Linked DNA regions of Tribolium castaneum. The protein of the gene in region 1 purifies or fractionates together with the protein of each later gene. This does not show direct contact. Links are inferred from orthologs where the notes say so. Each region holds a gene or a part of one and is shown in the gene's direction. Other genes may lie near its edges.

Region 1 (6,118 bases):
TTCACAAACCAATAATTTCATAAAATTTAATTGCAATTACAATGTCGTATACACCGGCTCTAAATACGGTGTTGAAAAGTCATAGTTTGAGTGACTCATTTTAAATTCAGTAACTAAAAATTAAATCAAACACTCAAACAGTTTATTGCCACGTAATAATTTTGTCTTTAATTTCAATGAATGAAAGTGGCTTGCTCAAAATTTAATGCAAAGAAACATTTTTTTTTTGGTTTCTTTTTTATTATTATTATTTTTTATGCTACAAACGGTAGCCAACGTGGAAGCGAAACACAGGTACGTCCATTTTATTGTTGTGTCGTATTTATTTATTTATTTTACAAACCAATAATTTCATAAAATTTAATTGCAATTACAATGTTGCTCTAAATACGGTGTTGAAAAGTCATAGTTTGAGTGACTCATTTTAAATTCAGTAACTAAAAATTAAATCAAACACTCAAACAGTTTATTGCCACGTAATAATTTTGTCTTTAACTTCAATGAATGAAAGTGGCTTGCTCAAAATTTAATGCAAAGAAACATTTTTTTTTGGTTTCTTTTTTATTATTATTATTTTTTTTGCTACAAACGGTAGCCAACGTGGAAGCGAAACACAGGTACGTCCATTTTATTGTTGTGTCGTATTTATTTATTTCACAAACCAATAATTTCATAAAATTTAATTGCAATTACAATGTCGTATACACCGGCTCTAAATACGGTGTTGAAAAGTCAGTTTGAGTGACTCATTTTAAATTCAGTAACTATTAATAAAATCAAACACTCAAACAATTTATTGCCACGTAATAATTTTGTCTTTAATTTCAATGAATGAAAGTGGCTTGCTCAAAATTTAATGCAAAGAAACATTTTTTTTTTGGTTTCTTTTTTATTATTATTATTTTTTATGCTACAAACGGTAGCCAACGTGGAAGCGAAACACAGGTACGTCCATTTTATTGTTGTGTCGTATTTATTTATTTCACAAACCAATAATTCGTTAAAATTTAATTGCAAATAAAATGTTGTGTACACCGGCTCTAATACGGTGTTGAAAAGTCATAGTTTGAGTTTTAAATTCAGTAACTAAAAAGAAAACACTCAAACAATTTATCGTCGCGTTTTGATTTTGTCTTTAATTTCAATCGATGAAAGTCACTTGCTCTAAATTTAATGCAAACATTTTTTTTTGGTTTCATTTTTATTATTATTATTTTTTTAATGCTACAAACGGTAGCCAACGTGGAAGCGATATGAAGGTAGGTGTATTTATTTACTGAAGTTTTAAATTTAAATTGCCACATATTAAAACGTATTGTGTATTTTTTATTTTGTTTAATATTGACAAATGTTGCTTGTTGTAACTTTCATGCAAATAAAGATTTTTTATTGGTGTTGTTTTTATTTTTTAATGTCTTGCTACAAACAGTAGCCAACGCAGAAGCCATATGAAGGTAGGTGCATTTTTTTGCGTTTTATCTTGTGATGTGTTGAATTTAATAGCTTGTGTGCCATATATTATACCGTATTGTGCATCCTTTATTCTGTATAATATTTATTAGTGTCGCTTTTTGTAACTTTCCTACAAATTATTTTTTTTTGTTGGTTGTGTTTTTAATTTATTTTTTAGGTTTTGCTACAAATGGTAGCAGATGCAGTATAAAGGTAAGAACATTTATTTAACGCCAAGTGAAAAACTTTGATTTTTGTGTACTTTTTTTTTATTACACAAACCAGTAATGTCTTTATTCCCTTTTATTTTCCAATAATCATTGTTTACCTCATCCTTATTTCCTTTTTTCCTGGCAAGAATGCTCTAAACCTCCACGTGGTTCTTGCTGGACAAATTAGTTATTAATTTGACTGATTAGAGCAATCTTTAAATACGAATTTTTTTAACGCAGTTTGCAAAATTGAGACATTTTTTTACAGCCGAAGGCCCTATCGAAGGGCTTATTCCCCTACAAAAATAATGAACATTGCACGGTAAAAAGGGGGTGAAAAAAAACAATTTGCATTGCTTGAATATAAGAATAAAAATGTAGTCAAGTTTTAATTTGTAATAGAAACACATTAGAATGATCAGGGTATGTTTTTCTAATGATTTACGATTATTTTGATAATTTTCCTGGTGTGAACTTGGCTGTAGAAACGAGAATGTTGCTAGCTCCAGGCGCGCAACGATTGTCTGGTCGACTGTAATGTTCATGGTGCCATCATCATTTTTAGTGCATCTGCACAGATATCTCGGCCACAGTGTTTTTCACTTTGTGCGGTTGGCGACACATCAAGCTAAGTTAGCAAAAATGGCGTTGTTTTGTGCCCGTAAGTATGAATTTTTGTTGCGATTTTGAATAAAGTACGCTTTTTTAACGAATCAAAACTTAATTCGAGTGTCAGTAATGAGCTTCTGGCGCAGTTTGGGTAACGATTTGGCCCGGTTTCAGTTTCAAACGAGGTGCCGGAACACCCAGTCGTGTCCCCAACGTCGGGTGCGATTTTCGAAAAACGCATCATCGAAAAGTACATCCAGGAGCACGGCAAGGACCCCATCAGCGGTGACGAGCTCACCGTGGACAAGCTCATTGAAATTAAGAGTGAGTAGCCTAACCCAACTTGTTCGGTTCTAACCGCCACACAGCCCCGCCGATAGTCAAGCCGAAGCCGCCGAGCGCCACCAGCATCCCGGCCACGCTGAAGCTGCTGCAGGACGAGTGGGACGCCGTGATGCTGTACAGCTTCACGCAGAGGCAGCAGCTGCAGACGGCGCGCCAGGAGCTGAGCCACGCGCTCTACCAGCACGACGCCGCGTGTCGCGTGATCGCGCGCCTCAACAAGGAGGTGACCGCCGCCAGGGAGGCGCTGGCCACGCTGAAGCCCCAAGCGGGCATCATCACGGTGCCGCAGCCCGCGGTGGCGGCCGAGGCCGGCGGCATCGCCAACCAGCCGACAGAGCAATGCGGCCTGACTGATGAAGTGATTGAGAAGCTGCAGGACAAGGCCACGGTGTTGACGCAGGAGAGGAAGAAGAGGAGCAAGACGGTGCCTGAAGAGGTGTCCACGCCGGAGCAGTTGAGGGGATTCAAGACTTTGGCCTCACATCCGGTATATTTTCAATGTTTTTATTTATACCATCCAGTATTTCCCCGAACATCTCTTGCATTTTGCACAATTGTCGTTTTAAAAATTTCACTTGACAAATGCAAAGATTACTAAATGTGGTAGAAAATGACTTAGTTTTCTCTCTTACGAGTGTTTTAGCACATTTACCAATTGGAAAAACGTGTAAAGGTTGGTGTTATTTTGCTGGATTTACTCGATTTAGCTTGTTATTGGGCGAAATTTCATCAAAAATAAGCCAAAAGTCACAGGATGTGTTCAAAACACTGATATTTTTTAACTAAATGTTCGTTCAAATAAAAGAATTTCTTTCTAACCTAATTCTAATTGAATTGAGCCAAAAATGCGTTGTTTTTTTTAAGTAAATATCTAAATATTTCAATAAAGTGATCGAAAATGATGTCATTTCAGGTTGTTTATCTCGAACTTATTCTGAGAAATCAGGAAATTAATTTGGGAAATCTTCTATTTTCGTAATACATTTTGCAGTCAAAAAGCAAAATTTCGTTGAAATCTTGTTATTTTTGCCATTTTCCGGCAATTTAATTCGTATAACATTCGACAATGTAGTTATTTCGAATTTTTTTTTTAAGATAAGAGCGAAAATGTTACATTTTTTTGTTGTTTTCAAGTGTTTTAAATTTTTTTTGAAAACAATTTAAGCTTTTTTCTATAAACATTACAAAAACTTAATAAAAAAGCACTATTTTTACATCAAGATGGTTGTTATTTTAGACCATTCCCTTCGATTTTGTTTGTTTTTGAGCCAGGAATTTATTTATTTCCCAACAATAAAAATATAAACTTATTATTTTGTTTTTATTAACTTTGATTAACTTTCGCGAAATTCCCTTTAAAAAAAAACGCAAGAAACCACAAAATTTGATCAAAATTTTTACGTTTTTTAAGCTTTAGAGCACGTTTTTGAATTTAATTTTCAGCTTTTTTGGCGAAATTTTGCAAAACCAACTGAGAAAAACATGCAGAAATAATTTTTCTGTTTTTTGAGGCTTTTCTAAAAAGGTAGATGAAAAAAACACCAAATTAATTCTAAGATTTTATTATTTTTCGAGTTCACGAGCATTTTAGTACGCTTTTAAGACAGAACTGTTTTCCAAATTTCGTAAAAAAAATAAAAAGCCGACTCTTTTATTTTACGAGATCTTGACAAAACACCTAAAAATCAAAAACTTATTATCAGCTTATTTTTGAATGAAATGTTCCCAAAAACAAGACAAGAAACCAATGAAATTGTTAAAATTCTTATTTTTTCTTTATTCATGCTTTCAAGCACATTTGAATTTTTGTTTTAATCGCCAAATTAAATATAGAAAACTACATTAATTTTTCATTTGCGATCATTTTAATACGTTTTACACTTAAAACCACAAATATTCCGCAAAATTTCGTTCAAAACCATTCGGAAACTAATTTATTTTGTAATATCTTGTCACATAAGTGAATCGACATTAATTATTATTTAATTATTTAGTATATTTGAGTTTGAGTGAAATTCGTCAAAACTCATTATAAATAAGTCGAAAATTGTGTTAGTTTTACTTTTTTCCGGGCTGTAAGCACAAACTTTTGCTAGAATTGGCTAAAATCATCAAATTAATTAACACAATAACAAGTGTTCATTTAAAAAAAACTCTAGAGTGCTTTGAAAATAAAAAAATAATTGTTTACTATGTCTGTGATTAATCCGTTCTTTCATAACCTTACTTTTTGACAACTAAAAGAAAACAGATTTTCATCATAAAATTTATTTATTATTTATAAAAACTGTTGGAAATGTCTTCCTTGTTGTTCAACACACATAACACATCGCCTTTGAACACTATTTAACAATCTTTGGCTATGAATTGTGATGACCTGGTTGATAGGCAACCAACAATACAATGATAAAAATTGATCTACGAAATCCGTAAAAATGTCAGAGCATGCTACGAGTTTTTTTTAAATAATGAACACCTGATACCATTTATTTAGTTCGCTCTTGAACCAGGAAATTCTTCATTTCATTAGAACTCGCCAAAACTGCCAAAAATTCACTTTTAATTCAGCTCATTTTTTGACCTAAATTTGGTTAATCTTTTTTTACTTTTATTAAGGTTTTGAACCACATTTTCAGTTTGTTCAAGCAAACCGAAAAATCACCAAGTTCGGGCGAAAATTAGCAGATTACATTTTTTATTGAGCTAGAGTACACTTTACAGAGTAATTTCTTTGCCTCCAGGGGCTGCATTCGGCGAGCGTCCCCGGTATTTTGGCCCTTGACGTGCACAATTCCGACACAAGCAAAATTCTGACCGGTGGTAATGATCGCAACGCCACCGTATTCAACAAAGACACGGAACAAGTTGTGGCGATTCTCAAAGGCCACACTAAAAAAGTCACAAAAGTGGTCTACCACCCTGACGAGGACCTTGTTATCACCGCATCGCCCGACTCCACAATCCGCGTTTGGAACGTGCCAACGTCCCAAACCACTCTACTGCTGCGCGTCCACGAAGGTCCAATCACCGGACTGTCCCTGCATCCGACTGGGGACTACGTCCTGTCGGCTTCAGAGGACCAGCATTGGGCGTTTTCGGACATCAGAACGGGCGAACTGTTGACGAAAGTCGCCGACCAGAGCAATATTCCCCTGACGACGGCCCAGCTGCATCCAGACGGGCTGATTTTCGGCACGGGGACGGCGAATTCCCAAGTCAAGATTTGGGACCTGAAGGAGCAGCTCAATGTTGCGACTTGCACCGGACATGCGGGGGCGATCACAGCCATTTCGTTCTCGGAGAATGGGTATTACATGGCGACGGCTGACGATGCCTGCGTCAAGTTGTGGGATTTGAGGAAAGTGAGGAACTTTAAAACGCTCCAGTTGGATGAGGATTACCAAATCAAGGACTTGTGCTTTGATCAGAGCGGGACCTATTTGGCGGTGGCGGGAACTGATGTCAGGTAAACAATTTTTTTAATTTTGATTTGTTTCTAA
Region 2 (6,457 bases), about 7.1 Mb from region 1:
TATTGCATTCCATTCGTAAGAAAGTGAGGTTAAAAATTTGACAACTTGCGCACTGAAGTAGCTACCGCGCAAGCTACCGAAATACTTAATAACCGAATATGTAACAAAATTCGACAAATACAAAAAGGTGGCCACAGTTTATATCTATTTGATAACATTAAACCAGTTACACCCAAAATACACTAATTAATTAAAAACAGTCATTAAATTGAATCTTTTATGAAATTATTTAATAATAATGGTGTTGGGGACTTTTCACTTGTGACACCAGTGTTGCCTTGCCCAGTGCTGCCCTTGCCACTAGCAAGTGTCAGTGTGGTGTCAGTGTGAGTTTGTTTGGCGTTATTAATCGTTTATTTGTGCAATAGTTTAGCAAAAACAGTCAGGATGGGCAAAGGCTTCAACAACTACATGTGTAAGAAGTTCTTCCACCCCGCTTCGCGGGACAACCTGAAGCGGGTGTGGATGGCGGAGCAGAAGGCCGAGGCCTACAAGAAGAAGCAGGAGGAGCTGCGCCAGCAGTACGAGAAGGAGCAGGACTTGCACGACAATAAGGCGATGCTGAGCAAGGAGAGCAAAGACAAGTTGAGCATCAACTTCATGTACGAGCCCCCGCCCGGGGCGCGCAAGGAGCGCGAGCGCGAGGACAACGAGCCGGAGTACAAGTTCGAGTGGCAGCGTAAATACAACGCCCCCCGTGAGAGCTACTGTAAGGGCGATCAAGAGATTAGGGACCAGCCGTTCGGGATACAAGTGCGGAACGTCAGGTGCATCAAGTGCCACAAATGGGGGCACATTAACACGGATAAGGAGTGCCCCATGTACAGTTTGTCGACCAGTGTGGCCAGGTCGCTCGAGTCGGCCTCGATTTTGGACCAGAAGTCGTTGGTTGAGCAAATGAGGGAGGATGGGCTTGCGATTAAAAAGCAGTATTTGAGCAATACGGGGACTGCTAATTATGATTTGATTATTAACGAGGATGCTGATGAGAATTCGGTTGTGACTTTTATTAAGTCGTTGACGAAGAAGCAGAAGAAGGCGTTGTTGAAGAAGTTGGAGAAGATTGAAAAGGGGGGGAGAGATAAGAAGAACAAGAAACGAAGGGATTCAGATGAGGCTTCCTCAGATGAAGACAGGAAGAAAGCAGGGAAGAGGAAGTTCAGGAGGAGGAATCAGAGTACGAGCTCTGAGGAGGAATCGGAAGATGATAAGAAGAAACACAAGAAGAAGGAAAAGTCGTCAGAGTTTAAACTAATGTCCAAAGAGGAGAAAAAGGCATTGATTAAGTAAGTTTCGACTTTAAAACTGAGGACAATGTACTCTACTTTTTAGTCGAATATCAATTTTTTGTACGAAAATTTTCATTTGCAGTAGTTCATTTAAAAAATCACAACTCTTGAAACTTTTACAATAAATAAATAATTATATTAGTATTCGATAACCAAAGGTTCAAAGGGTCTTTTCAAATTTTCAGGATTGTCAAATGTCAAATTGCAAGACTACTATGATTTTTTGAAATTGATCAAAAAGTAATTATAACAGTTTTTTCAAATTTTTGAATGGTAATCAAAAGGATATCGATTTTTATGGAGACTTTTATCAATATCTCCTATATCTATCTCTTATACTTTTTAAAATAATCTCAAAAAAAAAAGACCAAAAGCTCATTGTTTTCAATTTTAATCGAGTAAACTTTCGAAAAATACGATAAAGTTGTGCTATTAAATAAAAGTACTGCTTATTTGATAATAAATCAACTAAAAACTAAATAAAAGTTGGACAGTTGTTGACCATTTTGCAAGGTCTACTTGATTAACTATGAAAATTACGAAGTAAAATCCGTGTTTTTTTTTGTAATTATTTCTAAAAATGTAGGAAATGGGTATAGGACGTGTTCATAAAAGTCACCATAAATATTGATGTTCGATTGCTGTTAAGAAAAAAGGATCGTTCCATTTGAAAGACTGAGTTATAGCCATATTTTGCCAAAATCATACTAGCCTTGAATTTTGACAAATGACAATTTTACAAAAATTCAAAAATCCCTAAATCGATTAAAATAATATTTTTTATTTAAAAACGACAAAAAGGGGGCAATTACAAAAAATAGTACAAAGATCTTTTAATTTACTATTAATTAATTGATTACAGGAAACTGGAAATTGTGGAGAAAGCAATCAGTAAAAGGAACGAAAAGAATGGGCGAAGAAGTTCCGATGAGGACAGGTCAAGGAGGGACAAAAAGCACTCACGGCATAACAATGATGACTACAGACGGGACAGGAAGCGAAAATCTGATGATTCCTATTATGAAAATAGCAAAAGAAGACGCTCTTAAGTTTTTGTTGTACATTTCTTAGAATTGTTGTGATTATAGGGATTATCATGATACTTGTAATAATTTAGAAAACGTAATATATTTTTAAACGTATTCCACCGAATTTTATTTATAAATCCCGCCAACTTTAGCGACAGGCTGGCTATTGGTCCATTTTCGCGCAGGCGCTTAATGAGTCGCCATTTTGTAACGCAAGCTTGTCATTGATTTTCCTTGAAAGTGTTTTGAAACGAAATAAGCCAAAGCAACAAGCATTGGTGCTAGAAAATGGAACAGATACCAAGGACTCATGAAGGTACGCTGTTTTTTGCACCCAAAAGCCCGTTTCATGACTTTTTTGCGTCTCTAGACATCGAGGCCCAAATTCGTGAAATCCAGTCTAAAAAGAAGGAAATTCCGGTGGAAGAGGAGCGAAACGAGAAGGGTGTAGGTTTAGGCGAGAGTGGCTATTTTGATAGTGAGATCTACGATGGGGGCGGCGGTAAGGGTAAATACGAGGGTTATGTGACCTCGATCGCCGCCAACGATGAAGCCGATGAAGAGGACGACGATGTGGGTTATAGTCAGAAACGGACCGGACTGGGGGCCCCTGTGGCGCTCCTCAATGATGTCGCTCAGGTGAGATTTGTGTTATTTAAGTTTTGTGGTAGTTAACTGAGTTGTTTAGAGCGACAAGGATTTTGATCCGTTTGCTGACAAGAGGAGGCCCACGATTGCCGATCGAGAGGACGAGTACAGGCAAAAGAGGCGTCGGATGATTATTTCACCCGAACGTGTTGATCCGTTCGCTGACGGTGAGTAGTTGATTTCGTCCAAGTATTTATAGCTCGTTTTTCCACTTGTTTATGTTTTATATGAAATTTGAGATAATGCTGTTGCTGTCGCTTATCTCAAGTTTTGTATGTTATTGGGGTATATGAAAGATAGCGAATGGATGCATGAGTGAGCAAAAATACTCGAGAAAGTAGGCATTAAATAAAAATCAGTACAAAGAAACTAATTTGTTCTGTATTGGATTCCAACATTTAGGGGTGTCTTCCTAGAGAAGTAATCGCCGCGATTTTAATGGATCACTTCCGTAAAATGTAACGTTGGTAAACGAAAATCGAACAAGAGTGAAAGAGTGTATGCAATGTATAGAAAATTATTAATTACCCCAGCCTATTTCTAGGTTCGATTTGACCAGTTGTTTTGCGAGAAACTGCCTGATTTGTGATGGAGCACAATCACACGTACGTATCAAGATTTGTTCGCCAAATTCACTCCCTTTCAATCCCCAATATTCGAAAAATAATCAGTTTGAGTGAATTGTGGTGCAACCAAATCTTTCAATCATTCAATAAAGAACAGATACTAAATAGAAAAGTCTGACCATTTTTTGCCAACAAGTGCTTCCGTTTACTAATTGGCGTTTTTCAACGCTGTTATGTTTACAGGTGGCAAAACACCAGACATCAATGCCCGCGGTTACACCCAGATTATGAAAGAGCAGATGCTCAAAGGAGAAGAAAACGAGGTCAGTATCAAAAATTTATCACCTAGCCAATTTTTTTTCGTAATTATGTCCGGCAATGGAGTCCTTTGTTAACTCAAAGTTGATTTCTTTGACCACTTGTAATTTAATTTCAGTTGAGGAAAAAAATTCTGGAAAAATCCAAAGACGGTTCACTCAAATCAACAAACGGTGAGGTAAAGAGCGCACCTAAGAAACGGGGGCGCTGGGACCAAACCGTAGACGAAGTCGTCGTCCCCAGCAAAAAGAAAACTCTCTCCGTAACGACCAACAGTGCAGCTGCTACCCCCATCTGGGATGCTGACGTAACAATCCCAATTTTTTAAAACCAATTATTAATAAAAAAATTACAGAAAACTCCAGCCGACCACCGCTGGGACGAAACCCCCGGCCACAAAGGCAGTGAAACGCCGGGCGCCACCCCCGGCCAATCCACCCGTATCTGGGACGCGACCCCCGGGGCTGCAACTCCAGGTCGCGAAACGCCCGCTCATGACAAGAGTGCCAGTCGTCGAAACCGCTGGGATGAAACACCCAAAACCGAGCGTGAAACTCCGGGACATTCGAGCGGCTGGGCTGAAACCCCGCGCACCGACCGAACCGGAGCCGACTTGATTCACGAAACACCGACTCCGGGAGCGTCCAAACGCCGCTCCCGTTGGGATGAAACTCCCTCTGTTCAGACACCGTCGGCGCACATGACTCCGGGTGCTATGACGCCGCAAACGCCGCACGGAACGCCAAGCCATGCCACTCCGATGCTGACTCCGGGCGGGTCAACTCCGGTCGGAGTCAAGGCGATGGCCATGGCGACGCCCACTCCGGGACACTTGGCGTCCATGACTCCGGAACAACTCCAGGCCTATCGATGGGAGCGGGAGATTGACGAGAGGAATAGGCCGTATTCGGATGAGGAATTGGATGCGATGTTTCCGCCGGGGTACAAGATTTTGGCACCTCCGGCTGGGTATATACCCATCAGGACGCCAGCAAGGAAATTGACAGCCACGCCCACACCCATGGTTAATACTCCCCAGGGATTTTTCATCCAACAGGAAGATAAGACAGCCAAATATCTGGATAATCAACCAAAAGGGCAGAATTTGCCGTTCATGAAACCAGAAGATGCGCAATATTTTGATAAATTATTGGTCGATGTTGATGAAGAAGCTTTGAGTCCTGAGGAACAGAAAGAACGGAAAATAATGAAACTACTCCTAAAGATCAAAAACGGGACCCCTCCCATGCGAAAAGCCGCCTTGAGGCAAATCACAGACAAGGCTCGAGAATTCGGTGCAGGGCCCCTTTTTAACCAAATTTTGCCCCTTTTAATGAGTCCAACTCTGGAGGACCAAGAACGTCACTTGTTAGTCAAAGTCATAGACCGAATTTTGTACAAATTGGACGATTTAGTCCGTCCCTACGTCCACAAAATATTGGTGGTGATCGAACCGTTGCTCATCGACGAAGATTACTACGCGCGTGTGGAAGGCCGTGAGATTATCTCAAATTTGGCCAAAGCCGCCGGATTGGCAACCATGATTTCGACCATGCGGCCCGATATTGACAATATAGACGAATACGTCCGAAATACAACCGCTCGTGCGTTTGCCGTCGTCGCTTCAGCTCTGGGAATCCCCTCGTTGTTGCCGTTTTTGAAAGCCGTCTGTCGGTCGAAAAAATCGTGGCAGGCCCGGCATACTGGTATTAAAATCGTCCAACAAATCGCAATATTGATGGGGTGCGCTATTTTACCGCATTTGAAATCATTGGTTGAGATTATCGAGCACGGTTTGGTCGACGAACAGCAAAAAGTTCGAACGATTACGGCGTTAGGTATCGCGGCGTTAGCCGAGGCTGCGACACCGTACGGTATTGAGAGTTTCGATTCGGTGCTTAAACCACTGTGGAAGGGCATTAGGACCCATCGCGGGAAGGGTTTAGCTGCGTTTTTGAAAGCTATTGGTTATTTGATTCCGCTGATGGACGCCGAGTATGCCAATTATTACACAAGAGAAGTAATGTTGATTTTGATTCGGGAGTTTCAATCGCCTGACGAAGAAATGAAGAAGATTGTGCTCAAAGTGGTCAAGCAGTGTTGTTCGACTGACGGTGTCGAGCCTCAGTACATCAAAGAGGAGATTCTCCCACAGTTCTTTAAACATTTCTGGAATCACAGGATGGCGCTGGACCGGCGAAATTACCGCCAGTTGGTCGACACGACTGTCGAAATCGCAAATAAAGTCGGAGCTTCTGAAATTATCAACCGGATTGTGGACGATTTGAAAGACGAAAACGAACAGTACCGGAAAATGGTCATGGAAAGTATCGAGAAGATCATGGGCAATTTAGGAGCGGCCGACGTTGACTCGCGATTGGAGGAGCAATTGATTGATGGCATTTTGTACGCGTTCCAGGAGCAAACCACCGAGGATGTGGTCATGTTGAACGGTTTCGGCACCATCGTCAACCAGCTGGGCAAAAGAGTCAAGGCTTACTTGCCCCAAATTTGCGGTACCATTCTTTGGAGACTGAACAACAAGTCGGCCAAGGTCCGCCAACAGGCCGCCGATTTGATCTCGCGGATCGCAGTCGTGATGAAGACG
Region 3 (6,139 bases), on another chromosome or scaffold:
TATAAATTGCAGAATTGTAGTTAATACAATTATCTCTTGATAAAAAAAAACTAATAGTCGTAATTTAAAAATATTGTGCATCTAAAAGAAACCAACACTCGAATCTAGGGCTTAACCTTTGACACTGAATAAATAATTTGTTATCAGAAAACTTCGACTAAGTAATAACGTCTAGACTTGTTTTGGAGTTAAAATTAGCTTCCCTTTATTCGCATTCGAGTCCAGAATCCGTTAAATGGTATTAAAGTTCTTTTGCATTCGATTAAGCAAAAGTATTATGAGCTTTGCACATTTGAATTGCATTTATTTAAGTGGATTTGCCGGGCGTATGCACATAATATTACGTATTCCAATAGAAGTATGAATAATCAGTGGTAGCTTGACCACATTTGATATTTACATTGTGGTTTGAAACTAAAGTACCAAAAAATTGCATCTTTTGTTAGTTTTCTTTGTGCGATCATGGTTCAGTTAATTGAGTTTGTCTGCATTGAAGAACAGAATTAATTGTCTACAACAATTTATTTATAAAGAGTATACAGTTATACACTCTCCATTTTTATAAAACCAAGAAAAATACAAAAATAAAAATTCAAACAGTATTGAACTTAATTTTATTAATTCAAAAAATGCAGCAAAAAATAACATTAGTTCGCGTTGGTGTTCCGCAAATAATTTTGTGTTTTCCAGAAAATAATCGCGGTTTTCAAGCCGAAAGACGAGGAACCTTACGGCCGTCTGAATCCCAAATGGACGAAATGGATGCATAAGCTGTGTTGTCCTTGCTGTTTCGGCAGATCATGTTTAATTCCAAATCAGGGTTATTTATCAGAGGCTGCTGCTTATTTAGTCGATTCAAAACTTAATCTCAACATTGTACCAAAAACAAGGGTATTAGATAAGCTTCCGTGGTAATTAGCGCCACTTTGTTACTCCTTTGTGTCGTAGGTCGTCAAATTAGTGTCAGAAACGTTCAATTATCCTAGAATAGACAGGCAAAAAGCGCGCATGAAGCGAGCAATTATGGAGCAGTTTCCCAACGTCGGTTTAAGGTTTAACAGGATAGGTCTGCCACCAAAGGTTCCTACTTATTTATTTCACGTTTTGGAAATTTAACCCGATTTTTTAGTGTGGTTCATTCCAGTTGTTTGTAGATGGTTACAAGGACGCCGATTATTGGCTGCGGAGGTTCGAGGTGGAGCCTCTACCTCCGCGAATGGCTCAAAAATTTCAACTTCAGTTTGAACGCTTAGTCGTTTTAGATTATATAATACGAAACACGGATCGCGGAAATGATAATTGGCTTATCAAATACGAACATCCTACGATTTCTAACGGAAACGGTCCAGTAGAATTAACCGAAACCACAGAGTGGAATCTAGTTCATTTACCTGAGATAAAGGTCGCGGCGATAGACAATGGGTTGGCGTTTCCTTACAAGCATCCAGACAGCTGGAGGGCCTATCCGTACCACTGGGCATGGTTACCACAGGCTAAAGTTCCCTTCAGTAAAGAAACGAAGGATCTTGTTCTACCGTTGCTAGCCGATATGAATTTTGTGCAGGATTTATGTGATGATTTATATTTACTATTTAAGCAAGATAAGGGCTTTGACAGGAGTCTGTATGAAAGGCAAATGTCAGTGATGAGGGGCCAAATTCTTAACCTAACGCAAGCTCTGAAGGATGGGAAGTCCCCGGTGCAGCTAGTCCAAATGCCGGCTGTTGTCGTGGAAAGGTATTATTTGTTCAGTCAGTAATAATAACGCATTATTCGGTCTTTTAGGTCACAAAGCCAACAAACGTCTCGATTTTTCAACTTTACACAACGCTTCCAGGACAAGAGCCCCTTCTTCTCATGGTGTTAACAGATTTCTTTTTATATATGTATATTACGAATAGGCCAGATTTTTAATACACTATCATGTAAATACAGTACTATTTGCTGTTATTTTAACTAGGAAATTTTTTAATCAGATTATTGTTATTTTCCTTATTGGTACGGTTAAAAAAACTGATGAAATTATAATTTATTAAACAAAACAAATGGTACTACAATAAAACGTATATTGATTATCTAGTGTCTTTAATCCTTCCTAACTTTTTCTGCGCGGGGATCATCATGACGAATCACTGTGTATTCGATTTTGTACCGTCTGTTGTCCCCGTCTTTAACATTGTAGTATAAATGAAAAGAGATAGCCCCCAGCCCAAGTCCAATGAGAGCCATTACACCACTGCCCATCACATCAGGAATCTCATGCCAACCACGTTTTAGTAAACCAATGGAAGCTCGACCTGACGCCGACATTGTGCTACAAAAACTTATAAATTCCCGAATTTAATTAATTTGGACCTTGTGTACCTGTTATATAATTTTTATTATTTGTTACAATTGGAAATAACCTTACAATCCCCTGACAAGTTTTTGACAGTTAAAATGTCAAATTTCTAGTGACTTAATTTTTTATTCTCTAGCAATTTTAAAAATTTATAGGTTAAATTCACAGAAATTTGACATAAACAAAGAGGTTAGTTATTAAGTTTCCCAAAAAACCTTAAAAATGGATATTGGTGAATTACTGGACTACAAAGTAAGTCAACACATTTGACGAAATTCATTTCTAATACAAAATTCCGACTGTAGCCCCCTCAAGGCGTAAAACGCCCAGTCGAGAATGAAAACGATGAAATCGAAAAACAGAGAAAAATGCGGCGAATTGCACGGGATAAAGCCAATAGAATGTCCCGTGCCGCATCCCCAACCCCGTCAATACAAACTTTGGACCAGATATCCGAAGAAGAAAGACAAGAAATATTAAAATTTGTGGAAACTGAACAAACAGAAGTATCTCCTCAGTCAGTTCCAAGCCCATTCGTTTACAACTAGACTGTGTTTCAGGGCGAAGTCATTGACGAAGCGGCAATCAAGCGAATTGTTCTAAATTTCGAAAAACGGAGTCTCAAAAACAGAGAAATGAGGATCAAGTTTCCAGACTCGCCTGAAAAGTTTATGGAGAGCGAGCTCGAACTACATGAAATTTTACAAGAAATGAGGGTGTTATCGACCGCACCTGACTATTACCCCCTTCTTGTGAAGCTGCAAGTCATACCCAGCTTGCTGGAACTGTTGGCACATGATAACACTGATGTGGCAGTAAGTAAAAATAATAAACGTTATTGTAAATATCAAGAACAGTTAGCAGCTGTTATCTTTATTGCATTAAAAAATGTGTCAGGTGGCGACCGTGGAGCTGTTGCAAGAACTGACCGATGTGGACATCCTCCACGAGTCTGAAGAAGGTGCCGAAGCCCTAATTGACGCCTTGCTCGACCACCAAGTGATAGCCCTCCTCGTCCAAAACCTGGACCGTTTGGACGAAAAAGTGAAGGAGGAAGCAGACGGTGTCCACAACTCCCTATCAATAATAGAAAACTTGACCGAACTCCGCAATGACATTTGCAACGAGGCCACCAAACAGGGCTTGCTCCAGTGGCTCTTGAAACGGTTGAAAGTCAAAGCCCCTTTCGACGCCAACAAACTCTACGCCAGCGAACTCCTCTCAATCCTGCTCCAAGACAACGAAAAAAACCGAACTGCTTTGGGCGAAATGGACGGAATCGACACTTTGTTGCAACAGTTGGCCTTCTACAAGCGCCACGACCCCTCCAGTGCCGAAGAACACGAGCTAATGGAGAACCTGTTCAACTGTTTGTGCAGCGCACTGATGATCGTCTCAAACCGAGACCGGTTTCTCAAAGGCGAGGGCTTGCAACTGATGAATTTGATGCTCAGAGAGAAGAAAACCTCGCGGAACGGCTCACTTAAAGTGCTGGATTACGCAATGTCGGGCCCCCATGGCAAAGACAATTGCAACAAGTTCGTGGATATTTTAGGCCTGCGGACCATTTTCCCCCTATTTATGAAAACGCCGAAGAAGAACAGGAAGAAAGTCTTGTCGACGGAAGAGCACGAAGAGCACGTCACTTCGATTATCGCGTCCATGCTGCGGAATTGTCGCGGGTCGCAGAGACAAAGGCTCATTAGTAAATTTACGGAAAATGATCACGAGAAAGTCGACAGGTTGCTTGAGCTACACTTCAAATATTTGGAGAAGGTTGAAGCCATTGATGAGGCCATTGAGGAGGAAAATGGAGTTGAGGATGATGATGCGAGTTATATGAAGCGGCTGGAAGGAGGATTGTTCACGTTGCAGTTGGTGGATTATATTATTGTGGAAGTTTGTGCTGCGGGACCCGCCAGTATTAAGCAGCGAGTTATGCAAATCCTCAATCTTAGGGGGGCTTCGTTGAAGACGATAAGGCACATTATGCGGGAATATGCCGGGAATTTGGGGGACGAAGGGGATAAGGAGTGGAGGGATCAGGAGCAGCAACACATTTTGCACTTAGTTGATAAGTTTTGATATGTTATTGCCATTACTTCGAATAAAAATTATTTCATTTGGTATTTTCCTAATTTCTCGTCACAAGGGATTTTGCAGTGTTCAAAAATTATAATCACTTTATTAACAGCCAACGGATCTTTTAAAAACAAAGACACTACACTTGACTCAAGTACAAACACTAAAACACTTCTTTCTAAGACTAAAAATAAGTAATAAACGTAACAAAATAAGCATAATGTAGGTTGTACAATTTAATTCTTTTATCTGTTTTTGGCCATCAATATAATACCTGGAAAGGTCAATACTGTATTTATGTTCAGTGAAGTGTTGATTATTGTATCACTGTTTTTTTTTATATTCATTAAAAGTATTGCTCTAGCATTTGTTTATGTTACCTTATAACAACGAGTTTTAAATTAACATTATTACGTTACTCCTGTTGGAGCCAAAAATTACACAAAAATAGACTTTAATACTTTCTTATCCTACAAATATAGTGCCATCAAAAATTTCAAATTATGTGCGTTGAACAGTAGTAATTACTTGGCATGCCTCCGATGTTGGCAAAACTGAAAATCGGTGAAAACTTGTCGTTTTTGCACCTTTAGGAGCCCTAAAGCCTCACAAAAATAAAAATATCGTTTTTTGAAAGGTGTGAATTCTTGAAAAATTCTACAACGATCGATCAAAATTAAGCCGTAAAAATAATTCAAAAATTTTTTTAATTATAACCAGACCGCCAGTTTAATGTATGACGAATCATTTTCGAAATATCGAGCGGAAATTTGAGTTTCCGAGTTCTAATCTTTTCACCTAGAACTAAAGTGACCATCCCAACAAATTTAAAATCTTGGCATTAAATAGTAATAGCAGTACAGAGTACAGTTCAGATAACGAGAAAAACCGTGGAATTTTTTTGTTTAACTAGCATATTTTTTTAAGTTTTAATAATTTAAAATAAGCTTACGAAAAATCTTTGTTTTTTAAACAAAATTTGAAATTGAAATGCAAAACGTTCCAAGAAGTCGATTGGCGTCGACAAACTTAATAAATTCAAAGTTATCAAGTATTCAGAAAGTGGTCCTTTTTGTCTATTACAACAATTTTCTCAGTAACTGTGAGCAATCTCAAACGAAAAATTAAAAGTAGGAGAGTTATGGGAGTCAAACTAGTGTGCCGGTACCGGAGACAGCCCTAATTATTTTCCTCGAAAATTATGAAGGCATCCAAACTTCAAGGAAATTTTTGATCACACCATATTTATAACAATATCACAATTTTGCCACAAAACACAACATGAAATTATTGTAATTAATAATGAAGCACTGATTATTTGGCTTGATACAAATCCCAAAATGAATTTATTTGAAAAGGCTTCCTTCCGTTCAAGAATCACAAAAAAAGTTGGAAGACTTTTCTGGGATAATATTATTGTTTCTCACGTATCAGGTACTTAAAAAGTCATTTCAACGTTCTTCACAACATTGGTGAAATCAACCTTGGATGGTGTCAAATAAAAGGCCGGGGCCACTTGGACCCCACAAGGGCACAGACAACCCATGATCCAGCTAAACGAGCCAACTTTACTGTTACACTTTGGACAATACAACTTATCCTGGGTTGTCTGAGTGACATTCATCCAAGCCAGCGGTTCAAGAAAATAAGTTTTGGTACAAACCTCGCCCCCAACCTTGTGCGTCATCAGATTGGACTCGGACGCCAAAACTCTTC

Evidence for each region. Proteins that work in one complex are often made in the same cells at the same time.
Region 2: the proteins of Prp19 (region 1) and Sf3b1 purify together in Homo sapiens (co-immunoprecipitation; 4 studies listed by BioGRID and IntAct, with this or other methods). This does not show direct contact. The link is inferred for Tribolium castaneum from reciprocal best matches to the Homo sapiens genes PRPF19 and SF3B1.
Region 3: the proteins of Prp19 (region 1) and beta-catenin-like protein 1 purify together in Homo sapiens (affinity purification with mass spectrometry; 4 studies listed by BioGRID and IntAct, counting the BioPlex papers as one, with this or other methods). This does not show direct contact. The link is inferred for Tribolium castaneum from reciprocal best matches to the Homo sapiens genes PRPF19 and CTNNBL1.

The regions. Positions count from the first base shown.
Region 1 is NC_087395.1:23,125,216-23,131,333, forward strand, and holds the start of Prp19 (pre-mRNA-processing factor 19), read left to right. Parts: upstream 1-2,193; 5' UTR 2,194-2,201; coding exon 2,202-2,325; intron 2,326-2,447; coding exon 2,448-2,597; intron 2,598-2,641; coding exon 2,642-3,105; intron 3,106-5,359; coding exon 5,360-6,084; intron 6,085-6,118. UniProt on the Homo sapiens protein: Ubiquitin-protein ligase which is a core component of several complexes mainly involved pre-mRNA splicing and DNA repair. Required for pre-mRNA splicing as component of the spliceosome.
Region 2 is NC_087395.1:16,038,892-16,045,348, forward strand, and holds the start of Sf3b1 (splicing factor 3B subunit 1), read left to right. Parts: upstream 1-2,488; 5' UTR 2,489-2,605; coding exon 2,606-2,633; intron 2,634-2,687; coding exon 2,688-2,956; intron 2,957-3,005; coding exon 3,006-3,132; intron 3,133-3,137; exon of another isoform or gene 3,138-3,570; intron 3,571-3,774; coding exon 3,775-3,854; intron 3,855-3,967; coding exon 3,968-4,156; intron 4,157-4,204; coding exon 4,205-6,457. Other genes in the region: corepressor interacting with RBPJ 1, read left to right, coding at 388-1,286, 2,152-2,338. UniProt on the Homo sapiens protein: Component of the 17S U2 SnRNP complex of the spliceosome, a large ribonucleoprotein complex that removes introns from transcribed pre-mRNAs.
Region 3 is NC_087398.1:8,514,215-8,520,353, reverse strand, and holds beta-catenin-like protein 1, read left to right. Parts: upstream 1-2,463; 5' UTR 2,464-2,563; coding exon 2,564-2,593; intron 2,594-2,646; coding exon 2,647-2,847; intron 2,848-2,901; coding exon 2,902-3,156; intron 3,157-3,238; coding exon 3,239-4,426; 3' UTR 4,427-4,470; downstream 4,471-6,139. Other genes in the region: Pi4KIIalpha (phosphatidylinositol 4-kinase type 2-alpha), read left to right, coding at 691-891, 949-1,080, 1,130-1,737, 1,786-1,867; uncharacterized protein NdufA3, read right to left, coding at 2,086-2,310; MKP-4 (dual specificity protein phosphatase MPK-4), read right to left, coding at 5,862-6,139. UniProt on the Homo sapiens protein: Component of the PRP19-CDC5L complex that forms an integral part of the spliceosome and is required for activating pre-mRNA splicing.